Arabidopsis thaliana: one gene and its partners. The protein of the gene in region 1 interacts with the protein of each later gene in a pairwise test. Each region holds a gene or a part of one and is shown in the gene's direction. Other genes may lie near its edges. The genes, in order: AT3G18250, AT1G64150, AT5G19130 and RPH1.

Region 1 (5,674 bases):
CGTCTTCGACATAACGGTGATCGGAGATTTCGGCGAATTTTGGAAATTGAGAGTTGAATTGACGAGTTGTGAAGAAGAAGATGATGATAAAATCGAAAACATTTTTTGATCTCAGCGGATTCTTCATCACCACCGCGAACACCAATTTGTCGTTCCAAGCCTCGGGCAAATCCCACGGCCAATTCCGAACGGAATCATCTTAACTCCAGCAACTCCGGTTAAATCGGCGTCTTGTTATAAACCGGTTCGGTTCAAATTGCTACGGTTTAGACCAGATCTTCGGGTCTTCACTTATACCGGGAAGATAACACTCAGTTAAAATATATGCAACGTACGTGAGGGGTTTGAATAGTTTATTGAGACATGAAGATGAAGAAATAAATGGGAGAAGGAACAAGGTCAAAACCATTCCCATTCTTTGCTTCTTGAATATGTTTTTGTTACCTTTGTTCCCAAGCCTAGAACCTATCTCTTCTTCTTTCTTCTTATATTTGTTGCTTTTCACATTTTCTCCTAATCCAAATCAACTATTTTACATAGTGATTACATTCATTTCATTGTTGTTTCTTACCGCAGTAACTTTTATCTTAATAAATTTGATCCAACCATGCCAATATTTACGGGATCGTCCTCCGATTCTGAAGACGAAAGAACGATCCATAAAACAACTAAGCTCTTCACTCGTCAACGATCTATTCACTCTATATTTGGAGGTGGTAAAGGTATTTGTCTCACTCTCTTTCAAACTTTATATCGGTTCAATCGGTATGCGTGTGTGAAAGTACATGTTTATATCCATCAATTCTCTTCAAATATCACATTTTATTTTGCTATTATCCAAAATTATCACCAAAATTATAATGTAGACAAACACTAAATTTTAACAACTTGCATTCGTGATTAACAGTTGCGGATATTCTGTTATGGAGAGAGCCGAAAATAGCAGCAACATTGGTGATAGGAGTGAGCATCTTATGGTTCTTAATGGAAGTAGTGGAATACAATTTCATAACCCTAATTTGTCATGCTTCCATGACCTCCATGCTTTTTTTCTTCATTTGGTCTACTGCTTCTGATTTTCTCAATTGGTATGTTTATATCTTTACTTGATTAATCTTTTTTCAATTTCTCATGATCAATTGGTTAAAAATATACAAATTACAAGATTTCCTTACCAATAAAACGACAATTAAATAAACAAAATTGCAGGGAAAGACCACTAATACCAGAAGTTGTACTAGACGAATCTTCTTTCAAACAATTAGCAAGAAGCTTCCATGTTAGATTCAACCAAATCCTCACAAAGCTTCTTGACGTTGCTTGTGGAAGAGATCCTCCTCTCTTTTTTCTCGTAAGATATTATATAGAATAATAATTTTCCACTTATATATATATATATATATAACTTTGGATTCATTATTATTTTGCTTAAATTGGTTACTATATTTCCAGACAACGATCTCGCTTTATATCGTATCCATCATCGGGACATATTTCAACTTTGTGAATCTTCTCTTCATAGGTAAGAAGAATTAAGTCATGATACTCAACTATATATGTAGATTTAATTCCCTTTTATTAATTAACGGAATTAATGGACGTCGTGTCGTTCAGGGTTTGTAAGCATGCAAACCTTACCGGTTATGTATGAGATGTACGAGGACGACGTGGATACAGCGGCGGGTAAGTTGATGAGGAAGATGAAGAAGCTGTACAAGAAAGTCGATACGAATGTTCTTAGTAAAATCCCAAGAGGAACTGTCAAAAACAAGAAATTTACTTAATTCTGATCATTCTTTACTTATAGAGATAATGTGTTTGCTACTGTATTTATGCGACCTCATCAACCCAAATTAATATACATATCTGTTAAAAGAAGAAGAAGAAGTTAAGATCTGATAATCATCATCAAATGGAATAATGATGTGAAATTGTGAAAATCAAGCCTCTAGGGAAATAATTAACAAGAACTTGTTTATGGTAACTTTCTCCAATTAATGATATTGGTCTAGTTTTAACCTTGATGAGTATAATAATAAACTATAAATCGACCAAATCACTTGAAAAGCGGGTATCATCAGCACATCGCTGCAAATCTGTTGCACATTATATCACCATCACATTCCTAAAACCTGTTATAACGTTAAGATTTGCCAAAACCGAGCTATTTTTTTTTCAATAATAATTTTCTTCTATAAAAATAAAATAAATAAACACTAAATCGAAAGCGAAAGTGGTCGGATAAATATCAAGATACGTACGTTTGTTTACATGTATGGGAAAAAATACAAAACAAAATACCAAATTTTCGTTTTTTGTCCAAACCAAACTTTGTCTAAAATAGATACCAATTGTTCTACAAAATTGTCAAAGAGATATTTTGTTATTTTGAAAATGACAATGTTAATAATAAGTGGAGTTAGACTTTTCACTTTTGTTTTAACCTACAATTTCTCTCTCGCTTAACATCGACTATTCTAACACATTTTTCAATCTTCCTTTTTATTAAGGAACTTTAATTTTTCCAAAAATCTGAAACATACTATACCCAAAAATCGATGCTCACACCTAGCTAGTTCAAACTGCGTACGTCAAAATATGTGGTATGGACGTAAAGTATTTTATAAGTTTTGTTAGAAAGTTAGATACTTATAAAATAAAAAAATTGATATTTTTTTGGTAAAAAATGGAAGTTTGGTATTTTTTGGCAGTTGTATACATAAATAAAAATATATATTACGGAGTTATATATTCTTGTTTGGTCAAATGTTTCGGAAGCTTTTAGATTACGAAATTACATAATCCATGATGAATTAAATTTGGTTAGTGGTAGAAGAATAAGACGCCAAAAGAAAAAAGGGAAGAACATTGGGTTACGTCGAAAGTCCTTTGATAAGAATTTGATTTTGCATAGTCAAATTTGGACCAACAACAAAAATGGAGTCCACGTGAAATAGAAGAGAGAGACTTAATAGCTTCTCATGCATAAAGTTATGAACAATCAATGATAACCAATGATAAATAACTAAACAGTACAAAATCTCTGTATTTTTATTGGATTTAACAAAGGCCATGAACAATCACTTCAATATTTATAATTTTTTTAAAAAGACGAGGCAATTCAAGCTGATTTATACATTATGATTAATGATAATTATATTATGGCATTTGACTTTTCTCACGCTAATGTAAATGGTCAAAAATCCTTATCTTCAACTAAACTTCCTCGACAAAACCTTAACTAGAACTATGTATGTAATTTATCAAATATTGAACTTTAAATTTCTTTAAAAGCATAATATAATCTTGACCTATAAAATTAGCCTAGCCTTTCGAATTACAAGTTTTATATTTTTAAAGAAACATAATCTTCAACTAGAAATTATTATAAACCGGGTCCTATCTTCATCTAATATACGTGATTCCATCAAAATTCCGCAGTCAAATGTGTTTAGTTGAGAGGAGGAGAATAGTAGACTAAAATGGATGACTTTCTGGTAAGTCTTGTATTGCAGTCTTTTCTATATTTTAACAAATAAGTCTTCTTTTCTTAAAAAGAAAAATTTAATTACAAAGAAATCTTACTACTGAACGAATAATTTATCAAAAGTCAGTGGCCTTACGTACGAATTTATCGGCTATAAGTAGGAAAGCTTTTCACGTTAAACAACTTAATCTCATCCACATTAACTAGAGAAAGAGAGATGGCGAGACACTTATTAGAAGATGTAATGAGCATGGCCACCACAACAACACATTTCGATGCTAGTTACCTGTTTCATGTTGTGTTCCTGGCTGTGATCGGTTGTTGTATCCTCTCCGCTCTGTTATTCTCTTGTGCCGACGGAGTCTCCGACAACAGAGCCACTTCAGGCACCTCTACCGGTGGCGGAGGTTGTGGCGGTGCCGGTTGCGGTGGTGGTTGTGGAGGTTGAGATTTCATTTTTCTTCGTCAGGAAAATATAAACAGAACAGTCCGACCATTTTACTTTCGTTTATAGATGTATAGCTATCGTATATTGAAGCAATAATTTATTTAGTTTCCATTTCTTATCTTACTGATTGAATTTCTTTAAAAATTAGAAAGACATCTGATACAAAACCCAAACAAAAATTGTACCAATTCTTTCCTTTGGTTACTTTCATTCTGAACCCGTAAACATATCTGAAACCTTAACTTTAGGAGAGATTCATAATTCTGAGAAAACGTTAACTAGTCTCTAATAGACACCAACAGCACAGCCAAGGTTCATGTCTTCATGAGATACAACAAGCAAACCAAACTAAGATAGGAGTTACCATCAAAGATTCTTCATGGATCTGAAAAGCCATAACGGATCAAATGATTGCCAAAAGAAGACGATCCTACAGATTATTTGGTGAGACAAGAAAGGCGCTAACCGGGAAAAGTTTTGTTCAAGCGTTGATGGCATCTGATTCTTTAGACCTTATGATCTTGGCTTGTAGTTTCTGCATAAAAGCTGGATTGGCACGGAGTCTTTGTTTTACATATGAAGTTCTTATGTCTTCAGCGATCTTGTTGGCTTTCCCAGCTTCTTCTATCAACCCGTAAAGAGTTCTTAAGCAGTCTTTCCTGTTTTCCTCTCGGTGTTCAAACCTGTGACAGGACAAAAACATTTCATGATTCAACATTCTTGTCTCACGAAAAGCTTAAGATTTATAGTTATATATACCTCTCGCTGGTGATTGTAAGCTCGTCTTTCCCCGAATGGTATCTTTTCCCTACAAGTTCCCTTAGCCTTTTAGCCTGATGCTTTGAGAGCCCAAGCTCTTTCACTGTAACAGACATTTTAACTTTCCTGTTCTTTGGATGCCACGCATCACCTCCAGGAGCAAAAACTATCCTTGATTGCCACCTGAGGATTGGGCCTTTACCAGGGGGATCATCCAAGTCAGTATTCCTATCGGAAGCATCTGTTTCACCAAATTGGGGAGGACCCTCAGCTTCCATCTGATCCCCATACTGAATTACCATCTCATCTTCAAATTCCTTAAAAAGCTCATAAGCTGCTTCAGCCTCAATTTCACCTCTTTCACACATATCTCCAAGCTCATTAAACTTTGCTTCAACCTTTTTCTTCAAGTCATCTGAATGAACATACACAGTTAGAGAAATGTTCATATGTACGCATCACAGGAACAAACCAATATATTCTCTAAACGGCCCTACTGATCCGAGAAGTAACATATCTGGCATAGTACATTACCTTCTACGAGTTAAAAAAACGAATGGTTCTCAACTTCTCATACCATGATTCAGAAAAATCCAAATAGAAAGGTTAACTACAAAAGCTAAGTTCCACGAAGAGATTGTGTTTAGCTATAACGACGCACATTAGTCTATTAATCAACCTAATCTATGTCTAAGGATGTGAGTCGATGAACGGGAAGATTGAAAATAAACGAGCCATTACCAGGAAGAAGCTGGTCCCATTTGAGCATATCCTCAAGAATCTCCTCGCATTCTTTAGTATCAGTAAGACACCCATGTTGGATACCTTCTCTAATCATGTGATCCCACTTCTTATCATCCATGTTGAAAAACTCATTCTTCCTCATCTTTTCAGCTACATACTCGGGAGAATTGTACAAATCCTCAAGTTCTTCGTCAGTAGAATGTGCTTCCTCGAAATCGGATTCAAAATCTTCATCC
Region 2 (9,382 bases), on another chromosome or scaffold:
ATAGTAGCGTCAGCTACAAGAACCGCAAACATAGACGCAAGATTGAGAATGATGAAGAAGGCGAGAAGATGCAGCAGCTTAAGGTTTTGGTATGTCTTCAAAGCAGTAAAGATATTGATCCCATGATGAAAATAATGGAAGCTACTCGTGGAAGCAACGAAACCAAAGAAAGATTTTGCGTTTACGTTATGCATTTAACTCAACTCTCCGAGAGACCTTCTTCTATTCGAATGGTTCAAAAGGTGAGAAGCAACGGTTTGCCCTTTTGGAACAAGAAAAGAGAGAATTCTAGTGCCGTTACGGTCGCGTTCGAGGCGTCTAGTAAGCTAAGTAGCGTTTCGGTGCGTTCTGTGACCGCGATTTCACCGTTGTCAACAATTCATGAGGATATATGTAGCTCTGCTGATAGTAAATGCACAGCGTTTGTGATTTTGCCGTTCCATAAGCAATGGAGATCTCTGGAGAAAGAATTTGAAACGGTGAGATCGGAGTATCAGGGGATTAACAAAAGAGTTCTTGAGAATTCACCGTGTTCTGTTGGAATTTTGGTTGATCGTGGTCTCGGCGACAACAATTCTCCGGTAGCTTCGAGCAACTTTTCACTTTCCGTCAATGTTCTGTTCTTTGGCGGTTGCGATGATCGTGAAGCTTTGGTTTACGGGTTACGAATGGCTGAACATCCGGGCGTTAACTTGACCGTTGTGGTTATCTCTGGTCCGGAGAGCGCAAGGTTTGATAGGCTTGAAGCGCAAGAAACATCACTATGTTCCTTAGACGAGCAATTCCTTGCAGCAATCAAGAAAAGGGCCAATGCAGCTAGATTTGAAGAGAGGACGGTGAATTCAACGGAGGAAGTGGTTGAGATTATCCGCCAATTTTACGAGTGCGATATTTTATTGGTGGGAAAATCTTCCAAAGGACCTATGGTTTCAAGATTACCGGTTATGAAGATAGAGTGTCCAGAACTGGGACCGGTCGGAAACTTGATCGTGTCAAATGAGATTTCTACTTCAGTGTCTGTTTTGGTGGTTCAACAATACACCGGGAAAGGTCCTTCTGTGGTGGGTTCCGTCTCTGTCCCGGTGGTGGAGACGCCATGAAAATCTGGAAACAGAGGATTGTGTTTTCTTTACCTTGAAGCACAAACCATGATGGATAACACGAAACACTCTTATGTATCAACATGCATGAATCAAACGACTCCCCTTTTTATGAATTTGTAAGATAAAACATATTTATGAATTTGAGTCACTGATTATATCATATCCTTAAAACATATGATTTGATGGATAGATTATTCAAGTTGTTAAGAGTTCAAAATTTTGACCAAAGATATTTATATTTTGGTAAGTCGATCCTTTTTTCAAAGGAATACTTCATATAGTAATTTTAGATACTACAATTATATTGACTAGTGGTGTTGTAGAAATATTTTTTCCTACTCAATTTACTATCATCCCATGCATGTGTCCATTATAAAGCTAGATTGAAATTTCAGTAGTAATCAAAATCTGATATTGTATAACACTGTGTTTGGTTTGTCAAACAACACATGACATAACAAATCATATACTACATAATTATCAAACCACATATCGAACAGAAAACATAAAATTCCAATATAAGATTGTTACACACCTTTTAAACTTATTAAATTATCAAAAAGTTTCAAAGGACTCAGCCTCTTTCTCTTTCTCTCTGTCTCTGGAACCATTTAATGGTCTCTTTTAGTAACATTCATAGAGTTTGATATCCATCTTGACCCTAAAATACTTAGCACCTTCAAAGGTATCGGTCTCAAACGTAACAATCCCTCGAGACATGAAAAAATCACCTGTCCCTCCGACAACAGACAAATCTCTACTCTGCACCATCATGAGATCTGCTCCCATTATGTTCAACGTCCCTTTGTGTTGAGTCGAGTTGAACACAAGTGTGTACGCGAACCATGCATTGTAGTCATTCTTCATGTCGTAGAAATAGAACCCTTGAGCTCTTGCCACAGGTTCGGACTGAAAGTTTTTGTCTATGGTCATAGGATCGTCGAAGATAACGAGTTTCCCGAATTTGAAATTCCCGAGGCCCGGTGGGTTGGTAACTGCTGCAGAAGTCGCGTTTTGCACGTCGTCGACACCGAACATTATGTCGTGGTAGTAGAGGACAAAGTTTTTGCACGGTTTTGGTTGCGATTTGGATGGTTTTCTAGCTGATATGACGGTTTTTGTTAGAACAAGGAAAACGAATAAGAAGAGAAACGATTTCATTTGGCCTACCATATTGAAAATATGTGTGTTTTAAATGAAAATGTGAGAGTGGATAATGAGAGAGTGAGATTGACAAAGAAGGAGTGATGGGTTTATATACAACTTGGGTTACTAGTCCGTGTTAATATTAAGTATAAACAAAGTGGACTAGCTCACTTCTTCTCTCTTGTTTCTTGTTTATATATTTATTTATATTAGGTTGGTGATAAGTTTTGTTGATGTGTATAAAGTGAGATCATTTACCATGAATATCTGAAAGTTTTCCATGTAGGCGGCTCAATCACCTTTCAAAACTTTCCACAAAATGTTATAGTAGTGGAGAAATCGTTAAAAATAACACGAATGAAGTACTAAAACAAATTAGTATATATAATACATATTTGATTTAAGACTACATAAGCTTAAAGCTTGTACATACCTTAAGCTGGAGTTGCACGAATTCATCAATAATATCTAAAACAGCACAAATTCAAAAGCAGAAGAGATATTAAATCGGTTAAATATGCAATTCATGGCTTTAAATCATATATATTGAATCAATGAATAATCTACTTGTTCGTCTAAATTTAGGACATTAATAATATATATATGTATAGTCTTTCAGAACTACTAATATATGTAATTTGGCCTTTTAATGATGGGTTGGTGGAGCACTAATAATAAAAACTAAAGAGCATGAGGAGTTTTTCCAATAACTTATAATTTTACATGAATTTATGTCAAACTGCCACTGACCATTAGCATGATGCTAAAAAGTATCGTTATAGATTTTATTTTATTTTATTATATATAAATCATATCATTTTTTTCTATAACTAAAAGTAGAGTCATCTATTTTATTGGTAAAAGTCACGTTGAAAATTTTAATTTTAGTTTGTTAAGTACCCTATGGCTAATATAATTTGCATACCAAACATGTTTTTTTCTTAATGATAATCTAGTCCATTTGTAAAAGTAACCGTTTTATCATCAATTTTTTTTTAATTAAGCTAAGCTTTCGCCGACTTAATAGAACATTGGCATTCGGCAGCCAATAAAGCAAATCAAGTTGCAGAATTTCAAATGTGACATAACTATTCACATTTTAAAAAATAATATCGTGAAACAAAAGAAAAGCAGAACAATAGTAAACAAAAAGACAAATTGTTGAATGTTGACAAACTGTGAAGATGATAACAAACGAAGGAAAAGAAAAATACTAAAATAGTTTGTCCTAAAAAGCCTTATCTGCGAAGGCATTTTAACGAAAACGGGCCTATTGTTGGCCCAATATGATATATAGGCTCGAAACTCGTCACGTGTATTCAACAGTTGCTTGAGTTTTTCCCACACGTGCGCTGTTACTACGTGGACGCGCGCGAATAACTCTAGTTTTGTGGATTTTTTTCACTATCTTCTCAGAACAACACAGAGCCAAAGGTTTTTTGCTCGCAGTAAAGAAGAATCACACTGTGAAGAAGAAGAAGAAGCGAAATACAAAATCCTCAGGAAAGAAATGCTAAGTTTGAATCTCTCGGAGTCGCTTCGCATTCCATTCCAGAACCCTAGGCCTCCCAAATCCGATTTTTCTTCTACTTCTTCTTCTCCTTCCTCATCGTCGAGGAGATGCGTCTCCGCTTATCCAATTCCGATCGGGTTTTCGGTTCGTAATCAATACTTTTCTAGGTAAATTTGATAATTGATTGTTCATCGGCTTTTGAATTTGCTATGCGAATGGAATGTAGCCATGTAGGAGTTTACGTCTTTTCACAATTCTGTGCAGATGTTTGACTCAATTGCGTCGAAATGAATCTCAGCAGCTAGGTTTTCGATGCTTCCAACGAAACGATGCGGCTTGTTACCTCGAGGTGATTCTGATTTTTGTTACCTTCCACCAATCTTCTTTTGGTAGATTTTTGAATTTTTTTAGATGAGATTCTGTTAAGGCCTAGAGGAGATTTCTGAATTGCTTGTTCTGTGTGGATTTACCTAAAATGGTAATGTAGGTTTATTATAATGATGATTGATTTTAAGGTTGAACAATAGTGGAGAGAATGTGTTTAAATGCATAAGCTGAATAAGTTGTTGTGTTTGCTTTGTTCAGAAAGCTGAGTCTGAAGAGCATGATAGAAATCTTGATGTTCTGGTTGAGTCATCGATAGCTCACTCAAGAAGAGAGATTCAGAGAGTTCTTATGTTCTTGGCGGTATCAGGTTCGGTTGCATTACTAGGCACTGATCCAGCTTTTGCAGCTTCGTCAATTCCCAATGTGACACAGTCACTTGTCACTTCTTTTGGAGACCTTGGAGATATTAGCTCAGGTTTTGCTTCGGTTAGAGAATCTTCCTTTTGCACAGAACCGGGAACTATCTCTTCTTCAATTCCAGTACTCTTAAATTTTATTTTTTGCTCTGTCTATGTCTGTGTAGGCTTTCTTGCTTATCTTTTTCTCTGAACTTGGAGACAAGACTTTCTTCATTGCGGTATGATCTTGAGATGTTAATCTACGCTTTAGAAACTCTCTTTGTCATCAATGATTCTGTTGATTGTGATAAGTTTTCATGTTTGTTGGTTAGGCCCTTTTAGCAGCAAGGAACTCTGCTGCTACCGTATTCGTGGGGACTTTTGGCGCTCTAGGGTATGCTTTCTTTCTCAAACAGAGGCGTTATTATGGTCCGTGAATCTTGTCTGAAACCAAATGTTACTTTGAAATCTGTAGAGCAACGTTATAAAACTTGGTAATTTTGCAGGATAATGACGATAATATCTGTAGTGCTTGGACGCACTTTCCACTATGTCGATGAAGTTCTTCCATTCAGGTTTGAGTATTCTGGCAAAAATTATTAAGCAGGTTTAAGTTCCATGATGATGCTGAACGTCAATGCTTGAGAACACAGGTTTGGTGGAACCGATTTGCCTATAGATGATATTGCAGCAGTTTGTCTTCTGGTAAATCTCTTTATTCACCTTTCTTAGCAGAGTCGTACTAACCACGGGTGCTTGGTTTGGACCTTTCTTATGTCTAGCAAGTATATCTTCCTAAGTATATGATGTCTACCAAGTGAAACCAAATGTAGCTGTAACCCTTTTGTTATGAGTTTTGTTTTGGTTTTGGTTCAGTTTTCGATTCGAAGGGTCTTAAAATTGTCATGAAGTTTATAAGTTTCAGGCTCTATTGGGTTTGGATTTTTATGTAGAAAAAGTTACTGGTCTAACAATGAAGATGTTGATTGGTTTTCAAGCCTGGTTTATGGTTCATTTTGGGTTGGATCATATTGTACAGAGCATAGTCTTAACCATGAAACAGTATTAACCACTTTTGTTACATTTAGGTGTACTTCGGTGTTTCAACGTTATTAGATGCTGTTTCAGACGAGGGTAAAGCTGACGAAGAACAGAAAGAAGTAAAACCTCTTTAGCCTTTCGTTCACTCTTTGTATATTTCCATGCAACCTTCAAGAAGTCAATATTTATTTACTTATTATCTACAGGCAGAACTAGCGGTTTCAGAGCTTTCAGGTAATGGAGCCGGGATAGTAGCAGCCGCGAACACCATCATCAGCACTTTCGCATTGGTTTTTGTTGCGGAATGGGGTGACAAATCCTTCTTCTCAACAATTGGTGAGACTCAAAAAGTTCAAATTTCATGATAAATCAAAACCTCAGGTCCAAAACTCCAAAAGTGTATATAATCTTCTAATTCTTTGAAGCTCTTGCGGCTGCATCATCACCATTGGGTGTCATCGCTGGAGCGTTGGCGGGTCACGGTGCTGCGACTCTTGTGAGTTCTTTATCTTTTGATTGAAACTTCTATGTGAACACTTTAAAGATCCTAGCTATTTGGGCTAGTCAAAAGTATCTTTAAGTACTATTAAGACTTAAAACCCCATCAAAGAAAAGATTTTTTCAATTCTCCTGAAACTTGGAAGACACAAGAACTCTAACTTGCAGCTTGGTTTGTTAATCGCAGCTTGCAGTATTGGGCGGTTCTTTGCTAGGAAATTTCTTATCAGAGAAGGTAACTAATTCCGTTCTTTATCTATCTCTATATACATACACATAGACAGTATATACATGTTTATACTTTATATAGATCAAATCAATTTTAGAAAATCATTATTTCACAAAAGCACTTGAAGAATACTCCTTTTTCATTTATAGTGTCAGGTTTAGATTTTTGTTACATGTCTTAACCTGCATCCTGACCAAGTAAAAGGTTAAGAAGAATAAAACTTTAATGGTTGCATTAAAAAAGTAGAAAACAATTAATGAAATATGAAACAAATCCATGTCCTTAGATTATCATGAAAATTTAGGGTGAATATACTAAATGCCAGCATATCCTAGGATATATTCAGCTTTTATTACACAAAAACGAGATACTAATGGCAAATTACTAGCTTTAATCATGGTTTTAAAAGTTCCAAACCACCTTTTTGAGTTTTGTTTTAGTTAGTCAAAGGATATAATTTTTAATCTCGTATTGTGTTCTGAGATTTAACATGATAGAAAGAAAAGTGAGAGATTAAGGTTTTTATTCTTTGGGCAAGTGGCAAAAACAAGCTTCTATGTTCATTGATCTCAAGTCTTCCACATCACTTGGTATCTATTCCTCCCCAAAAAAGAGTCAAAATAACATCTTTTATTGTTTTTATTCTTTCCTATGTCCGATCCAATCTGTCAACAACGCGTTATTATTCCCAAACTAATGAAACTAGCCGCGGAAATAAAAATTAAATCACAAGTATATACTATAATTTTCTTTAGGTTTTAAGGTTCATGATTTATGTTTTATGGTTTAAGGCTTAGATTTTAGCTTTTATGACTTGATAGTAGGCTTACAATTTAATTTATAAAGATTTAAGACCATTTTTTTTATTGTTTTGATCTAAAGTTTAGACTATTTAAAAAACAATTTTGGGAGAGAGAGTGTGTTCTAAAGACGGAAATGTTTACATGTCGTTTGGTTCGAAACAGGCAATTGCTTATGTCGGAGGAGTTCTGTTTCTCGTGTTTGCTGCTGTGACGGTGGCTGAGATCGTTACGTAAGTACCGAAAAATATATTTTTTCTATACCTTCTTGTACAAACATATTCAAGTTTAATTTTATTTTTGTAAAATATTAGTATATTGTTTATTTTCAACTGTTTTTCTGCAAATTATAATGTGGATTTTACAGTTCTCATACGTTAACGTTTACTACCACATTTGGTTTTTAGTGGTTAGAATTTACTTAGATGTCAAGATAGGTAATATGTTATGTTTTGAAAGATGCGTCCAAACATAACACGTGTTCGGGACTGGAAAGAATATAAAGACTAAAAAGAGGTTGAACATGGTAGAGCATATTCTTTTCTATATTCTTCATGTACAAATGTGTATTTAAATACTATAATCGTGCATGTGAATTAAAATTATATGAAAAAGTTATAAATTTATGAGTTCCACTCACAAAGGCCAAAGGAGTTGTTACACCGACATGAGAAATAGGAAGATAATACCATCTCCTTTCTTTTATAGTAAGGTGTAAATTGTTTTGGTATTTTTTTTTTAAATGGTTTTAGTTTCAATATTAAGCAAGGGCCAAGGTGATTTTTCTTTTTTAAAAAGGATTACAGAAGTAAAGCTATATATTGTGCAAAATAAGCATGCACTGATGCACCTACATAAATAGTAGTTTGGATATATTGTAAAAATAACTTTAAAAATCATTGGTTTTGAAAAGGCATATTTCAAAGTTTCTGAAGACACAAATTTTTTAAAATTAATTGACCGAAATATCTTGCTTAATAATACCTTTTCTACACAATGACTACACCTATATAATATTGGAGCATTTTTTTGTTCTTGATAAATAATAGTATATCACAGTGACATAAACTTCAGCAGTTATCTTCAAAAATATTAATTTGTTCTACAATATACACCTTTAACTCAATATTTAGTGATTTGATTTTAAAGTTGGGGGAAATTTCACCTGCATGTTGAATTACGCAAAGCGATTATTTACCTGACATATAAATGGTATTTAACGTACTTTTACGAAATTGAATACTACTAGTAGTTTTGAAGTAAATAGAAATCTAAAAAAGGAATTAGAGAATCTAAATAATACAATTGACCTAGAAAAAGTAAAAACAAAATCTAACGAAATTGCTGCATTTGCAAACGTGAACCACTCTTTTATCGTACGTGGACCCTTTTTAGGTTTCCTACTAAGGACAGCGATAGCCAAAAAAAAACCAAGAAACGACGTCGGTTTATATATTTTTGAAAAATTAAAAACAAAAATCGCAAAAAATTACGCTGTCGTAGATTTGTAGAAGACCTTCCCGAGGGGAATCGTGCGGGACCCATAAAAGACGCATGTGGGGACCACAGTCATAATCACAAAACCAAATTGAACGGTGACGAGCCGCTGCTGCTTCAGCCGCCACGCACCAAATTACCCCTTCGTTTTTTCTTTGCTGCTGATGCTTCCAACCGCCACAAACAATCTTGGCTTCGTTTAAACCATACGTATCCTAATTAAACTCTTAATATTAATATCATTATCTGTACTCAAATCTGCATAACAGAGTACAATGTTATTGATAAAAAAATACCATTAATCAAACTTAATATAAATTTATGGTAGGATAAATTTGATTATCAGGAAGTGGAGGACATATCATGTTTGGCAGTCAAATACTTCATTTTATTTTTGATTAAATTTAGCTGGTGCGTAAAAATGAATTTATGTGTTCTCTGTTTAATGAATTGATTAATGTGTTTGTAGCTTATACTTATGATCAATAGTCAGTCAATACAAAAACATAAAAAAAATATTAAAAGGGTATAAGTGGCACGTGCAAAAGATTCTGATGGCACGTGTGGCAAACCAGTCGTCTTACCCTTGGTTTTTTTATCCTCCTCACCTCTCCTTTCAGATTCGATATCATTTCCACTCCCTTCAAAAAAAAAAGCCTCTCTCTCTCCTCTCCTATTTATACCTCTCTCGATCTCTCTCGCCGGCGCTGCAAATCCCTAGGTTTTTCAATCACACCCAAAACATTTGTAGAGCCCCAAGTACTCAATTTCGCTTATTGATAGAGAGAGAGAGAGATTGAGAATCGCGATTTGATTTTATCAATCGATGC
Region 3 (8,309 bases), on another chromosome or scaffold:
GTGAATAAAGGGTACAGTATATGATTTTTTTCTTTTTGGGGCAAATATGATTTTTTTTTTATCCATTGAAAAATCTATTTATACAAGTTATGATTTTTCTTAATCCATCGATATTTTCTTTGAAAAAAATCTGTCTATTTAAACATAAATAAAACGTTGACAAAAATTTAATTGGTGATAATTTTTTTCGAAAAGAGAAACAAATCTGTCAATTAAATCAAGCGGATGTGTCACCACTTTCTTTCTATTTTCTCATTTAAATCACCAACCATTACTAGAGAAATTATATTTGTCTTAGAGTGTTTTTTTTTTTTTTTTGACAATCGATCTTAAGAGTGTTTCAAAACCAGTATACATATTTGTTTTTCTAGTTTTTTCTAACAAAAGCATACTCTCTAACTATTTGTATAATTATTATCCCATGCTTTAAAATAGTATTATTATAGTTTGAAAAAAATATCATATGTGTTTTTTATGAGCCAATGAACTAGGAGGGAGGGAGAGATTGTGATCTGAAAGCAACTTGAACCTAATTTAAATGGACATTTATCATCAACGATTGGTTTGTAGTATCATCAACTTTATGAATCTTTCTTTTCTTACATAAATTAACTTCATCCAGAGAATAAGATTTGTCAGATAAACAATAAACCTCTTTTAGAAAAATAAAATACAACAGCAACGTGATCCAAATATTTCTGTGTATATCAGTATATAATTAAAAACGAATTAGTACGATGATTGTTGGATCTTGCCATCTTGGGTATCTATATGTAATAATTGGCTGCATGCTGATCATAATTAAAAAATTTAAAATCAAAATTTTCGTCCTTGAGAAGAACTTATTCAATTTCGTTTGCCCATTTGTGAAACTAGAGATTCAAAACCATGTCCTACGTAATTTAATCAATAATTTGAAGTTTTTGTAATAATATTTTCAACTGGAAATGTAAAGAAAGAATACTAGACGAACAGTCGACGCCCGTTGTTTATGTTTCGGGGTTTGGCCCACGGTCTTCATATTTCATATCAGCCAACTTTAGACTGTTCATATTGTTTGTTCCGAATTACATAACCTAAATAAACTATTGAATTCCAAGGAAGAAAGTAAGCCTTTATTTGAACAGAAAGATGGTTGAGTTGCTGAAGATTTTCGACCATTTGTTAAGAAAAATATCACACACACACAAAAAGGGAAAACCATAAAATAATACATAAATGGTTTGGTGACAACAACCTAGAAATGTATAAGATAAAAAAGACCTATACTATTTCGTGCCAAATATCAGAGACCACAAGGTAGACCAACATAAATGTTAAAAATGTATAGTTTGAGGTTGTTGAGTTAATTGGATTTCTTATTCAAAACAATTTGATAATGAATAAATTGATTTTATGTTTTTTTTTATAATAGATGTAAATTTTAACATGCACACTTTGAGAAAATTGTTTTTAAAACTTTGTTAAACAAAATAACTGATTTATGTTTTATCCGACCCATGTAAAATCGTTTTTATCGGTCGAATCAAACAGAACAAAAAAAATTCCTTTTTCGCGGTTACTGTAGATTAAACTGCATATATTAAATACCATAACTTAACTGCTTTAGCTATTGAACCACGTCTATGGATGATTTTAGATTTTGATTATCATGTATATATTATGTTTTTGACTTTTCTATAGAATTTAAACTATATTAAAATCATATACACAAAAAAATAAAACGCAATATTGATCAATAATATAACGTAAATTGAATAGCAAAACAGTGAATGGCATATTTGTATTGATATTATAAACGTCATTATCATTTTATTAAATTGTAAAATAAAATACAGCCACTAGTTTGTATTATTTACTTATTTATTCAAAATACAATCGTAGAAAACAGAAAGAAAGACCGAGCAAAGCCAACCATGGGCCTGGGAGTGGGAACTACAAAAGCTGAAAACGACTTTGATATTGTTTTGCTTATTATCTTTTACAAATATTATTTCAAAGAAAATTATCTCATTTGAACATGACATATAGAAGATTTTTTTGTTGCCACATACCATTATCCAAACATAATGAATGGTATTAACTATTTATATATACATTTTTGCAGCCACTTTATGAAATAAATTTTAAAGTTGGGATTTATTTACAGCGGCTGTCACTGGCATTTAATAATTGTTTTTGATAATTAGAAAGAAAATCTTCTAATTAAATATTTGACATTTAACAATCTTCCCAAAATCTCTCTACCTTAACTACACGATTAATTACTAAAATAAAACTTCTAAAATATTTAATATCATTTAATTACTACAAAATTATCATTTTTGATATTTTTTCTCCATGATTATAATCATCAAACCGTATAGATATTTGATAGCATTTAATTACTATAAAATTACAAAATATTTAGACAATAATTCATAAACATATCATAAATAAGATCAACATTAATAAAATAAATGAGTTTTTTTTAGAGGACGGGTTGGCGAGACGGGTTTGGCAGGACGTTACTTAATAAAAATTGTAAACTATACAATAAAAACATTTTATAAATAGATACAATTTACAAACTTTTATATATATATTAATTTAAAAAAATAAATTGTTTTCACGGTATACCGCGGGTAAAAATCTAGTTACGTTATATATCTATATTTCATATATTTCTCTAAGAAAGAATCCTCTAGAAAATGTTTGTTGAAAAATGATTTCTTCATATCAAAACTATGATATTCTCGCGTTTTAAAAGCAATATGATGTATATGTGGTCGATCTAGAGGCTTCAGTATCATTCAAATGAACAAATTTGTTATTGGACCATCTCAATCACCTAAGCTTCGATCATCTCTAATCTCTATGCATCCCCACAAACACTTCCTATGCAGCTGTATATATCTTTTTTTTTCTTTTTTCTTGATATTCTTTTTTGGTTTCGGATCATATCATGACTTTTCATTATTTCTTTTGGCAGTTTCTCTTCTTTTTTGCTTTTCTTTGATGCGATAATATGGACTGCACTGTATAGCCCACTATTTCATGTTCCCATCTTGCTATGATGTAATAGCAAAAATACCATATACTGGTCATTTATAATAATAAATATTTAAAAAAATCTATAACAGTCAATGGATAATAACATAATTGTAAAAGTGTTTCTTCATTTTAAAATAAGATACAAATTAAGAACACTGATATTATCCATTTTATTTTTAAAATTAAGAACAAATATAAATATACTTTTGTAATCAAAATAACAATTATATTTGGTATGTAAGAAAATTCTGCACCATCTTAATCTGACTTTAAGCCCATCACCCAAATAAAAGTCCATTACAAAGCCTTCTAAATTTAAGCCCACCCACCCTATTCGGGCTGACCCGACTTGACCGTCGTCTACAATTCCCAAGCCACGGAGATCACAGTTCGTCGTAGGTTCGAATCTGCCGAAATTGATCGAAGATCTGTGAATCATGGCAGCGGTGAACCGGGATAATGAAGAGGAAGTGAAGACCGATGATGGATCTCCTAAAATCAAACCGAGACCAATCGTTCGGCTCGGAATCTTCCTCATCGCTCACAGTCCTGTTTTCAGGTAAATCTTCAACCATAATTTTCTCTTCTACTCCACTAGTTTCTATGTTTTGATTCTTTCTCTTTTGGTTCATTGATGATCTGATTGTGTTTGTAGTGTGGTTTTCTCTGCTGCTGGGGTTTTGGCGCTGCTGCTTTTGCCTCTACTGGCAAAGAACACTTACATCTCCGAGAATGCTCTAATGCCAGGTTTTGTTACATACCTTAGAATTCAATTAAAGTCCACATTTGGATACTGTACATGTTAACCTGGAATTAGTGTTCTATACGATTGGAATCTGTAGAAGGGTTTAAAACTGTTGAGTCATGTGAGTTTATGGCTTGCCAACTTTGAATGCGTTGTTGTTTGGTGTTTTACACTTTCTATTTTGACTCTAATCCTCAGGCTCTGCACGGTCTATGCTCTCTAATCGAGATGTTTCTGATGGAAGCAAACTGGTGAAGGACATAAAGAACTTTAGGTTGAATCATGAAGGCCAGGGTGTGTATGTCTTTTCTTCCCTCAGTTTTCGCATGAAATAGAGCTTTCTCCTACGTTATGAAGAATTTTACTTGTCCTTCTGTTTTGGTCCTAGCCCAAGTAACTTAATGTTTCTCCATTTGTGTGATTTTTCTTTCTAGTGAAGTCCAAAAGCTCATTGGAAAATACATGTCAGATATGGGTGCAGAAGTTTCTTATCAAAAGTTCCATCCTGAAGGGAATCAATTTCACCCCCTGCACTTTTTCTCCGGTCCAGATTCATATACATTGCTGGAGAATGTCAGTTGTGCTTCTTATGGGGTCAATGTTGCGGGGATTATAAGAGCCCCTCGTGGTGATGGAAAAGAGTCTATTGTGCTGGTTACTCCCTATGATTTTATAAATGGTGGAGACTATGAGGATTTGTCTTTAGGAATTGTCAGTTCTCTTTTTTCCTTGCTCTCTAGAGTTACCTGGCTTTCCAAAGACATAATATGGCTTGTCGCTGATTCTCGTTATGGAGACTATAGGCCTGTTGCTGCGTGGTTAACTGAATACCACTCACCTTCATTTAAGGTCTCGGATCTTCTGAAGTGTGACGAGCAAAATACAGCTGATAACTTCAGACGAGCTGGAACAATGGCTGCTGCTTTGGTTTTGAAGGTTGATGGTAGAAGTGAAAAGTTTGAGGACACACTAAGTATCTATGCAGAGGCATCTAATGGGCAGATGCCAAATCTCGACCTCATCAATGTTGTAAATTACTTAGCGGTGCACAGGCAGGGGTTTTATGTCAAGGTTGAGAAGGTTGTATCTTTACTTTCCTCTAGTTGGCTAAAGATTTTTGGGGAAATATTTGAAGCTGTTGGGAAATTGGCGCATATGTTAAATCCGGACTGGAATTTTGGTATCCCAGCTGCAGACTATCTTGAAGGCAGTGCTACCCTTGCAAGTTCACTGTACTCCCAGGTAAAATGTACAACTGATCTGTCCTTAATTAAGTTCTTGGCATCTTGTGGTTGCAGTCACACTGATACATTTTAACTAGGAAAGACCTTGAAAGCTGACAGAAAATGTTTCTTTCTTTTGTTATTCATTCTCATCAGGCCCTTGGTATCCCAACTGGTCCCCATGGAGCTTTCCGCGATTATCAAGTTGATGCTATAACTTTGAAAGTTTCACCTAGATTTCCTCCTGACAGTAAGACAAGACAACACGATTTCTTTCTACGAGGTGCCCGGTGAGTTTTTGTTTTTATATTTTCATTCGTTCCCATTTTATACCGTTTACCTACCTCTGCTAGTGTATGTGCATTTTGTAATGCTAAAGTACTACAATATATCATTTATGCTACAGTGGAATTTAAGAGTTTTAATGTTTTCTACTCATTGACTCTGTATGAGTGTTCGATGATAACTCTGTGCTTTCTCTTTAAACGCAGGTTACTGGAAGGAACTATAAGATCAGTGAACAACCTCCTTGAGAAGTTCCATCAATCGTTTTTCCTTTACATGTTAACTTCGCCAAGCAAATTTATCTCTGTAGGAGTCTACATGATTGCCTTTGCTCTTCTTGTTGCCCCTCTTCCAATGGTCGCAGCCTCTTTATACATCGATGGCTGTAAATCTCTTACCAATTCCACTCATAACCCAACCGAAAACTTCAAGTCTTGGAAATGGCTAGATGCAGCGAAACAGGTCTTTACTTTGCACTTGTTGGGTTTCATTGTCACGCTGCTACCTTATTTCATCTGTCAAGTACCGGGCCAACATTCTCCAACAAACCGCTCCATCATGTGGGGCACTACCTCTTCGTCGCTTCTCCTTATAACCTTTGTCACAATGCCTGGTTGCTCTCCGTTCTCCTCTCGACTCCATGGAACCAACTGGGCCATCTTGAAATCAGTGACCATCTCAGCTGCCTTCATCGGCCTATGCCTCATGTCCATAATCAATTTTGCCACCGCAGAGATTGGAGCGTTGCTACTAGTGCCAACGTGTCTTATGGCTCAGCCTATAAAACCCGCTTTGAGATCCAGACGCCTTAAGAGCCTGTTGGGTGCGTTTTGCAGTATTGTATTGCTGACAATCGGGTTCCCGGTCATGTTTTTTGCAATCTCTAAAGGGTTGCTTGGAGAAGGCCTCGTAGGGTTGAGTCTTGGAGGAGAGTTTTGGACATGGTTAGAGTCGCTTTGGGCGTGGAAGAGTGCAACATATCTATACATAGGTATGGTTCATCTTCCTTGCTGGCTCCTTTGCCTCTGCATCTTGTTTCATCCTTCTTAATTCTTATTTTACGTCCCAATCTCCATACAAGGAAGGTCACAGTTATTTCCTTTACTTCGGTGACAGTTGTCCACACTTGTTGGAATTTGTCATATGTTCTAGTTGTCGCATGGTAATTAGCAGTTAGAGGTCTGATGTATCGTTAGAAAACTAAAAATGCGATGAATGAGTGAAGTTTCTGTTTTTTGTATTGATTTTTAGTTTTAAGCACTGTATTTTTACTTCATTTAAGTAATAGCTGTTTCTTAAATTAGATCTATTAGTTGTACAAATGCATGATTGCTTGTAGCAGGTATTGTAAGAAAAGAGTACACTCAAAAGAGATCAAAATTGAGGATATCTACCAGATAATTAGAAGGTTACAATTACAAAGGTTTCTGTATTACAACGAAGTTGAATCAGAGCGTGTTCTTTGTCCAAAGCCCATCATTGAGTTACCCAAATCAAAGTCCAATATAAAGCCTTCTAATTGTAGCCCACCCATTACAATCGGGTTGACTCGACTTGACCCGCCGTCAACAATCCCCGAGCATCGGACTCCACCACCAACATCCACCATCAGATTCTTCCCATGAATCCTCCACCGCACCATCTCACTCTGCAACGCTAGATCTACCGCCGGAAAATCTACGTCACTAGTGAAGCAGAGCCCAAACGGTGCGACAGGAGGCACCGATGTAGCTTCACCCGCAGCTTTGGCGTAAGCTTCCGCGAACACCTTGTAGATCGAGCTCTCTAAAATCGTGTAAGGAACCACCGTGCTCAGCTCCACCGCCAACGGACCTTCCACGGAGAGCTTTTCCCCGTTGACTCTAATCGATTTCACGTTAATTACGTAGTTGCCACTCGAACCGGTTAACAAAGGCGTGTAAACCAGCGATCTAGACGCAGCCACTCCAAAAACCTCCTCCACCGAACTCGTTGATACGACACCGTTCAACGGCGACAGGTAAACAGTTAACCGACGACGTTCGTTAGTTTCCGCGGCGAGTTGTGAAGGGAGTGAGATTTGGGCCCTTCCTAAGCCCATTACTCCTTGGGCTCCACTAGCGAGCCCACGTAACAGCCACGGTGGAGTACAAGCGAAAAGTAGATCAACGGTTCCCGGAGAAGTAACAGAGCCAACCGACATGACGTCACTGAAAAGCTCTCCTCTCGCCGTAATCCCAAAGGCGTCGTTTTTAACAAGTAATTCGCAATCGGCGTTTTGGTCTTTACGCGATGATGATGATGATGATACTCGTTCATTTCCAACTTTTGCCTTTAAGCAGCCGCTAGAGCTACCGGATATTAGGTTCCTTGACGAGGAAACATGTCTTGAGGAACAATCAAACCAGAGAATTGAGCCGGCCAGATCGACTACGAGCTTGACTGGATCCGGTGAGTCACCGAGTCGAATCTGTGCGAGGTATTGACCGGTTGGAAGGTCTTTAACAACAGGGAAAACGACCCCGTTAACGGAATCAGAGATCTGAGATTTAGAAATGATTAGAGCGGAGAGAAAAGAGAAGAAGAAGAGATTCAAACAAGAAGAAGAAGCCATTAGAAGTGTGTGTGATGAGTTTTAGAGGAAGGAAATGGATCTGGACGGTTTTTAAGGATTAAGCGTTATGGTTTGGGATGCGGTGGGCCGACGCTGGTTTATTGTGAATGTGAAAAAACTGAAACGATAAGGATTGGTTCATTTTAAGGTAAGTGCTGAGTAGACTTGTTGTGTCGTTTCGCTCTTTGGTGGGGACTTTTTCTTTTCTTTTTATTTTGTTTTGGTCAATGTTTATCCATTTTATTAAAAGCTCAAAAGAAAAAGGAGACGATTTGATGATTTTTGGCACGTGTGAAAGGATGTTTTATAGGAATATCCATAAAGTTTATACCCTATGCCAGTTGGAGTAGTTGGCTTGGTACTTGTAAATTTTGTGATGTTAACATGTATTATGAAATTAAGATTGGGCTCGTTTATATATGGGCGTCTT
Region 4 (6,588 bases), on another chromosome or scaffold:
AAAAAATTGAATAAATAGCAGAAGATTGAAATCGCAACCTAAAACTAAGCCCGGAATAAACTAAGCTTGCCAATATAATAGTAATTTTAAGATTTTCTCCTTCAAAATCACACAGTACATAACATTTTCCATGATATTCTATATCAAAAATTTCTTTAAAATATATTTTGGATAGCGTGATAACTCTTTAATTGTCTTTAGATGGTTTCAGTCAGAAAAGATGATAGGTTGATCGCGATAAACAAGTACACCCATTTTCTCAACTTTACAGTTCCGACAACCCTGGAAGTTGGAAAACATCAGATAACTTGCTTTGCAGAACCGAATATGAGGCAATTACCTTCAACGTAAGATCTCTCATTGGAAGATCTGGAGCTCTCTTCAGACAGGTACAGAAAAACAGAATTGTTTACAAGATTACCCAACGCGACCAACATCCCCAAACCAAACTGTGCAAGCAAAAAGAATCCAGGTATAGTATAATGCCAAAGTCCCACCATCTCCCAAATTTGCATGTCCTGTATATTTAAGACACTAGTTGTTAATTTACATCTTAGTTTTCTTAAAGTAGTTGAAGATTTTGCGCATCGAGAATATATTACCTTTCCAACCTTAGTGTTCAGAAAAGAAAAGGCCACATTGAATATATACGTACTGACAGCCCATAAGAGTATAAATACGAGAAGAAGGCCATTTAATCTGTGCAACTGGAACAATGACGGGAAGGCATAAATAATGTAACCAACATATGCAAGGAGGCCAAAAGCACACAAGCTCGCAAAGTGAAAACTCCAGAACGAAAGAGCAAATAGAGAGACCTGGCAATCATGAACGCAAATAAAAAGAGTGTGAGTTTCTGACACATTATGTTGCTTTAGCTGACACATACACTTTAATACCAGGGATACAAATATATACCGGAAAACCATATGTGAAGAAATTAATACTGAAAGTCTTAAACACAGCTCCCCTCAGTAAAACATTGGTGTGCCTGACACCGGCCCTGAAAATTTGGAAAAAATTAACACATTAAGTTGAGTGTAACTATTATCCATCTACAATGCTAATCTTGTACAGCCCAGCCAAGAGAACATCCATTAGAATGTGTGAACTAGTTGTACTCTGTAAGGGAGTACTAATCTTTACCCAACCCCATAGTTTCTATTAGCAGAGAAACCAATCACAACTTTGTGTTCATAAAACTGTCCAGTGTTTAGGCTTCCACGTTTGGTAGTGCCGACCCTTGAACACAATTCTTTGAGCATATTCAACCATAAATTAATTAACATAAGTAAGAAAAAATTAAACAGAAAAACTAAAATTTCCCTTGAAAAACTGATATACTATGTTAAAACCACAACAGCTCCCAGTAGGAAGAAACTAAACAAAAATCTATATAGAATACCTTGATTCTCGAATAAAAAATGAATATTTTGGAGGAAGAAGCCGCTCTGCCAAGTTATTTTCACTCGTGGACATGATAAAGTCCATATCCTCGAGGTCTGACCTTACATAGGATAGCTGCAATAGCAGAACGACAGGCATGTCAAGACTGTTACAGGTATAACATAGTGGTAGCTCGTTAACAGATTAAGGCGGGTAAGTCAGTTCACTTGAAGGAAAAACTACACTGGCTGTTGGTGTTCATAACCAACTCCCCAAACACGGTCACCACATATTGACAGTTGTTTTGAGAAACAGTTCATCAATTATATGGTTCAGTAATATAGTTTATCATTTTACACTTGAGTGAGACCAAGTAATACTAATCCTCGAAAAACAAAAGACATACCATGATGTAGAACAACACAAGGAAAAGACCAGAACAAATATCAGGGCCTTCAGTTTCCAGGGAGATTCTGAATAGACCTATAAAGCTTGCTATCCAACGAATCATATCGGAAAAGTTTATTGGTAGTTGATAGAGGTAAAGCAGGACAATGTTGAATCCTGCGTAGATATAAAGAACTCTCCACCACCTTAACCAGACAAAAAACGACTAGATTTCAGAGAAGCAGGGTTTGGAAGTGCTAACTTTGCGTAATAATCAATAATCTATCCACCTGAAAAGTCCTGAAACATTGCTTGTCAAGGACCAGTCCACAAGACCGGCACAGCTTCCAATAAAAAATGGCAAAGAAACCCATGATGGATTGCAGATTCCCACTGCCAATTGAACTGCTGGTAACAACAAGCAGGAGGCAACCCTAAGATGACTTCCTGAGTAATAAAGGAGGAGATAACGTCAAACCAAGACCAGATGAACACATGATGAGAAAACGTTACAGTAAGTATTTGGACAAGCCGTATGGGCCTAGTACATTAATTACAAACCTAGGTGTTCGAAAATTCCTGAGAAGTGAGACCACCATGTGTCCCGCCATCTAGCGAAGCCGAATCTACTACTGTATATGTCAGCTAAAGCAACCAATGATGTTAGTAGTTGTAAAGCCAGGAAATACATAACGGTGGGGTTTCTCCAAGACTTTAATCTGCAGAAGCAAAGACGAGAGTATCAACTAACAAGTAAATATTTGTAAGGCAGGAAGATGAATGAAATGATGAGAGTACTCTTACATCATAAAGCCAATAACTCTCATCCAGCCAGTATCTGGTGTATCCCAGTCTTGACCTAGAGCAGCCCAAATGACAAGGTAGACCACTTGAGCAAGAAATACTGCAAAGGAAAAGATGAAAATGGGCCATAATAGCCAATGCCTCCTCTGAAAACGGTATCCTGGCAAAATAAAGCAAGAACCAAAGTAAGTTTGAGAAAGTAAACATCAGCTAATCAACCGTAACTGAAAAAAGCGACGAAAACTGAGAATAATAGACTCTCTTTTTTTTTTTTCTGTTTCTCCAGGCTAATGTAGATGTTGGGCATAAACTAGATGAATCCTTTCACACCTAAACCCCAAATCAAAGATTCCAAGAAACATGTACTACAGCAGAAACATTGGGGTATTTCTTTTGATTAGAGGGAAAACAGGCTTACCAATTTCAGGTGCAATATAGTGAACGAGGAGGAAAGCTATCAAATCAAGAAAGGATATGACACTCCAGTTAATAAGTGCAGCTGTGAGAGAAGAGAAAAATATATTAGGAAAATAGAAGCTCAAGCGAAAAAAGTACAAGCTACGGTGTGGTAGAGAATGGAGATAGCAATAACAAGAGATATGATACCAATGTTTTGACATAAAAACACCAGGGTCGTTTAAACTAGTAAAACTTAATAAAGGAACCTTAATAGAGTAGGTACAATGTTAAGGAGTAAATGAGTGAAGCTCAAGATATCCCATGAGACAAAGAGGAGGACTCTGTTGATTGAAGAGGACTAGCAAAGTAAGGATTTTTTTATTATTATTATTGCAAGCAAGAAGATAGAGAAAGAAACCAACCTGCCAGAAGAAGCGAAGGCAACAAGAAGCCCACCAAAAAACTCGCCATTGGAAACTTTTGTCTTAACGATCACCATATCCCAATTCTCATCGAATTCAATAGATCCCCTCTCTAGCTCCGACCTCAATTTCTTCCAAAAGGCCAACGAAATCAGCCCGCCGGAGACTAAAACGGAGGATAAAAATTTCCAATTCTCACGAATTCTAGCAAGTTCCCGAAAAGGTAGCTGTTGAAGATGTGTGTGAATTTGAAGGTGGATTGCAAATTTGAGAGAATTGGAAACTGGAAATCCAAATCCACAAGCAAAAATCAAAGAAAGATCTTTTCTTCTCGCAATAATCATCATTTTAATAAATTATATTTAGCGCCGAGAAATGGCTAAACCAATCAAACCGTCGTGGGCTCGAGATTCAATTATTGATTGCTGGCTTTTAATTTGGAATACCGGAGTTCGGTTGAGAATTGGACCGGTTCAATAAAGCCAACAAGTTTCTTCTTCCTTATCGCGATTATTGGAGGAGAGAATGAGTTGGTCTCTCTGCAGCACCCATGGGGTCTCCTCTTCCATAGCTCTCACTTATGGCTTTCGCCATAGAAGAAGATCCACCTTCCGTATTTTCGCCACCTCTGACGGATTAGAACCCAAGGACGACCCGCCGGAATCTCCTCTCCCTTCCTCATCCTCTGCTCTCGGTAAAGACTTGAAAAAGGTCCGCCTTTTTTCTATATCATTTACGATTTTTCTGTTGAAACCATAGGAAGACATGAAAATGAAAATGCACCATGTTAGATTGGTCTCTAGTGCTTGAACCTGTTGAAAGAGTTGCTCAAGCTTATGACTTTTCAATTCAAGCAGGTTGTTAACAAGACTGCTGCAACCTTTGCCCCTAGAGCTTCCACCGCCAGTAAAAACCCTGCTCTCCCTGGAACTACTCTTTACAAAGTTTTTGAGGTTCAAGGCTATGCATCGATGTTCCTCGGAGGTGTCCTTTCTTTCAACCTCCTCTTTCCCTCCAGCGAACCTGATTTATGGAGGTTGATGGGCATGTGGTCCATTTGGATGTTCAGTATGTCTCCTTCTCTACTTTCTTCTAACTTTATTTATTCCAAGGCTGCATTTTTGCCCCTAATCCTTTACTTTCTTTCCAGCTATTCCTTCTCTTCGGGCACGAGACTGTCCAAGTAAAGAGAAAGAGGCTCTTAACTACCTCTTTCTCATCGTCCCCTTGCTCAATGTTGCTATTCCCTTCTTTTGGAAATCATTTGCTCTTGTCTGGTCTGCTGACACGGTTGCCTTCTTTGCTATGTATGCCTGGAAGGTATGTCGAATGGTAATTATTGAGGGGCGCTTATATAGTTATATGTGCTTGCTCAGATTATTTTTTTCACTTTTTGCCTCTTACTTCAGCTTGGATGGCTGGAAAGAACAGAGTAGGGACTACTCGTGAATCATGATGGGATTAGAGCATGAAGATTCTTTGTCTTTTCTTCCTTAGAATGGTACTTCATTCAGCTTATCGTGTTAGGTACGTGGGTTTAAGGCAAATGAATGTGAACATTGCTCTAGAATGATATATGAACTAGCCCCTTAAGGAATATTTCTTGTAAATCTTAAAGTTCTGAGATGAATTATTGTTCAAAATACAAGTGGGAGTACATATACGTTTTGTTATCAAGAATGCAGCTGGTAAATTTAAACAAAGTAAAAGAATTGAGTATATAGATAATTCTTGCATCCCAGTGTCTGTTGGTTCTTCTATTCGACAGAGAAAGCGAGAGAAGAAGGAGGCTCATGTGTTTAGTTCTAGGCTAAGCCTTTCCTCATCTTCTCGAGTGTACTTTCGATAAAAGCATCTGATTTCTTATTTATATCATTTAGTAGGGGCCCCAGGCGTCTATGAGGCTGTGGTGGTTTCCCTGCTTCAGGCTGAGTGATTTGTTGCTTAGGGCTGGGCTCACCCAGCATGCTCTTTTCCCCGTTCTCCTGTAACCTCTTCTTTGGGCCGTTACTACCATTAACTAGTGTAATCATTGTCTCTCTCTCTGATTCTGGACTTGACGAGGCAGGGGAATTGTTATCCTCCGAGTCTTCTAATTGCTTGAAATGAATAGTGATGTCAGACATTGATCCCTTCTTGATCAGTTTGTTCCTCTCAGGCTTATCTTCATTCATCTCTTTGTCTCCTAATATCCATAGTTTAGCCACCACAAATCGAAACAGCCGACGGCAAATGCCCCGAGGCCGCAGAGAGCTGATGCTGTCATCATCCTCTCTTATGTGCATTCTCTGTCAAAAAGAAGACTGCAGAAACAGAAAGGTATTTTTCTTTTCTCTCCAGGATTATTGTGCTTGAGGAGTGGTTTTGGTGTATATGAAGAAATGAGTAGTGGTATATCGGGTTTGCTTTGATTCTACGCTTTTGTTAGATGGGGAAATTGAGCCAGTGGAAGCTATGTGTCGTTTTATCCAATAAAAGAAGAAGAAAACCAGAATCTCTCTGCTTCCTTCTTCATCCTCTTTTACTTTAACTGAGAAGCAGTTTCAGGAATATTTGTATCAATCAAGTTTCCTCTTTTCTTGATTGAAGCTGAAGATATTTGAAATTAATGGCAAGTGGTGGGGCATATCCTAAAGATTTTTAATACAAATAGTGAATCATGTAACAACAGTAGATGATGTAGCATAATACCCTAATCTTCGTTCTATAAAATTGACCAAATAAAAGGAAAGCAAAATGTTAGGAAGAAACAAGAAAAACCCACTAAACTCTCAAGTGTACAACCAAAAGACTCTGCTTTAAAAAAAAAAAGTAAAGGAAAAAGAAAGAGCTTCCGTGTGTGACACTTTCCAACTCAACTCACTCCTATCTCTGGCGACGATGACTCACTATCTGCCACTGACTTTGATGATGACAAGAGACGCAGCCTCTGGACACGCGGCGGGAGATGCTTGGCTGGTTTTCTTGACACTGGCGGTGTCCACGGCAAGAAAACTCCAGTGCCAGCGTCTAGCCTCTTGGGCGCCGGAGCTAGCATCACCAGAGGAGAAGGGGTGCCTGGTCTCCATAGGGTGGGCGGCGGCTGGACCTTACCGGAGTCCGGTTTGAGTTTGAAGAAGGTGATTGCGACTCTTTTGTTGGGCGAGGGACACATTACATGCCTAGCCATATCTGCACTGTTACCCCTCAT

The links.
Region 2: the proteins of AT3G18250 (region 1) and AT1G64150 interact in a protein complementation assay, tested with the Arabidopsis thaliana proteins (one large-scale study listed by BioGRID).
Region 3: the proteins of AT3G18250 (region 1) and AT5G19130 interact in a protein complementation assay, tested with the Arabidopsis thaliana proteins (one large-scale study listed by BioGRID).
Region 4: the proteins of AT3G18250 (region 1) and RPH1 interact in a protein complementation assay, tested with the Arabidopsis thaliana proteins (one large-scale study listed by BioGRID).

What each region holds. Positions count from the first base shown.
Region 1 is NC_003074.8:6,256,438-6,262,111, reverse strand, and holds AT3G18250 (Putative membrane lipoprotein), read left to right. Parts: upstream 1-3,685; 5' UTR 3,686-3,704; coding exon 3,705-3,935; 3' UTR 3,936-4,052; downstream 4,053-5,674. Other genes in the region: CYP77A5P (cytochrome P450, family 77, subfamily A, polypeptide 5 pseudogene), read right to left, coding at 1-102; AT3G18260 (Reticulon family protein), read left to right, coding at 608-722, 908-1,088, 1,210-1,351, 1,453-1,522, 1,615-1,784; AT3G18240 (Ribosomal protein S24/S35), read right to left, coding at 4,417-4,618, 4,695-5,109, 5,436-5,674.
Region 2 is NC_003070.9:23,806,957-23,816,338, reverse strand, and holds AT1G64150 (Uncharacterized protein family (UPF0016)), read left to right. Parts: upstream 1-3,613; 5' UTR 3,614-3,759; coding exon 3,760-3,929; intron 3,930-4,026; coding exon 4,027-4,111; intron 4,112-4,347; coding exon 4,348-4,575; intron 4,576-4,672; coding exon 4,673-4,726; intron 4,727-4,819; coding exon 4,820-4,881; intron 4,882-4,993; coding exon 4,994-5,062; intron 5,063-5,140; coding exon 5,141-5,192; intron 5,193-5,575; coding exon 5,576-5,647; intron 5,648-5,734; coding exon 5,735-5,864; intron 5,865-5,953; coding exon 5,954-6,024; intron 6,025-6,213; coding exon 6,214-6,261; intron 6,262-7,220; coding exon 7,221-7,292; 3' UTR 7,293-7,504; downstream 7,505-9,382. Other genes in the region: CHX16 (cation/H+ exchanger 16), read left to right, coding at 1-1,100; DIR5 (Disease resistance-responsive (dirigent-like protein) family protein), read right to left, coding at 1,728-2,276. UniProt on the Arabidopsis thaliana protein: Mn(2+)/H(+) exchanger, which transport Mn(2+)from the chloroplast stroma into the acidic thylakoid lumen. Might be a chloroplast-localized Ca(2+)/H(+) antiporter. Regulates Ca(2+), Mn(2+) and pH homeostasis. Required for chloroplast development.
Region 3 is NC_003076.8:6,414,155-6,422,463, reverse strand, and holds AT5G19130 (GPI transamidase component family protein / Gaa1-like family protein), read left to right. Parts: upstream 1-3,351; 5' UTR 3,352-3,470; coding exon 3,471-3,592; intron 3,593-3,688; coding exon 3,689-3,780; intron 3,781-3,976; coding exon 3,977-4,076; intron 4,077-4,212; coding exon 4,213-5,020; intron 5,021-5,157; coding exon 5,158-5,291; intron 5,292-5,492; coding exon 5,493-6,336; 3' UTR 6,337-6,544; downstream 6,545-8,309. Other genes in the region: AT5G19120 (Eukaryotic aspartyl protease family protein), read right to left, coding at 6,719-7,879.
Region 4 is NC_003071.7:19,658,940-19,665,527, forward strand, and holds RPH1 (resistance to phytophthora 1), read left to right. Parts: upstream 1-3,877; 5' UTR 3,878-3,923; coding exon 3,924-4,109; intron 4,110-4,255; coding exon 4,256-4,466; intron 4,467-4,548; coding exon 4,549-4,730; intron 4,731-4,807; coding exon 4,808-4,834; 3' UTR 4,835-4,963; downstream 4,964-6,588. Other genes in the region: AT2G48060 (piezo-type mechanosensitive ion channel component), read right to left, coding at 341-518, 603-818, 919-1,003, 1,406-1,521, 1,793-1,979, 2,064-2,220, 2,335-2,492, 2,578-2,737 and 2 more; AT2G48075 (uncharacterized protein), read right to left, coding at 5,204-5,683; AT2G48080 (oxidoreductase, 2OG-Fe(II) oxygenase family protein), read right to left, coding at 6,253-6,588. UniProt on the Arabidopsis thaliana protein: Plays a positive role in the immune response to the oomycetes P.brassicae, including induced oxidative burst (e.g. H(2)O(2)) and enhanced expression of defense-related genes.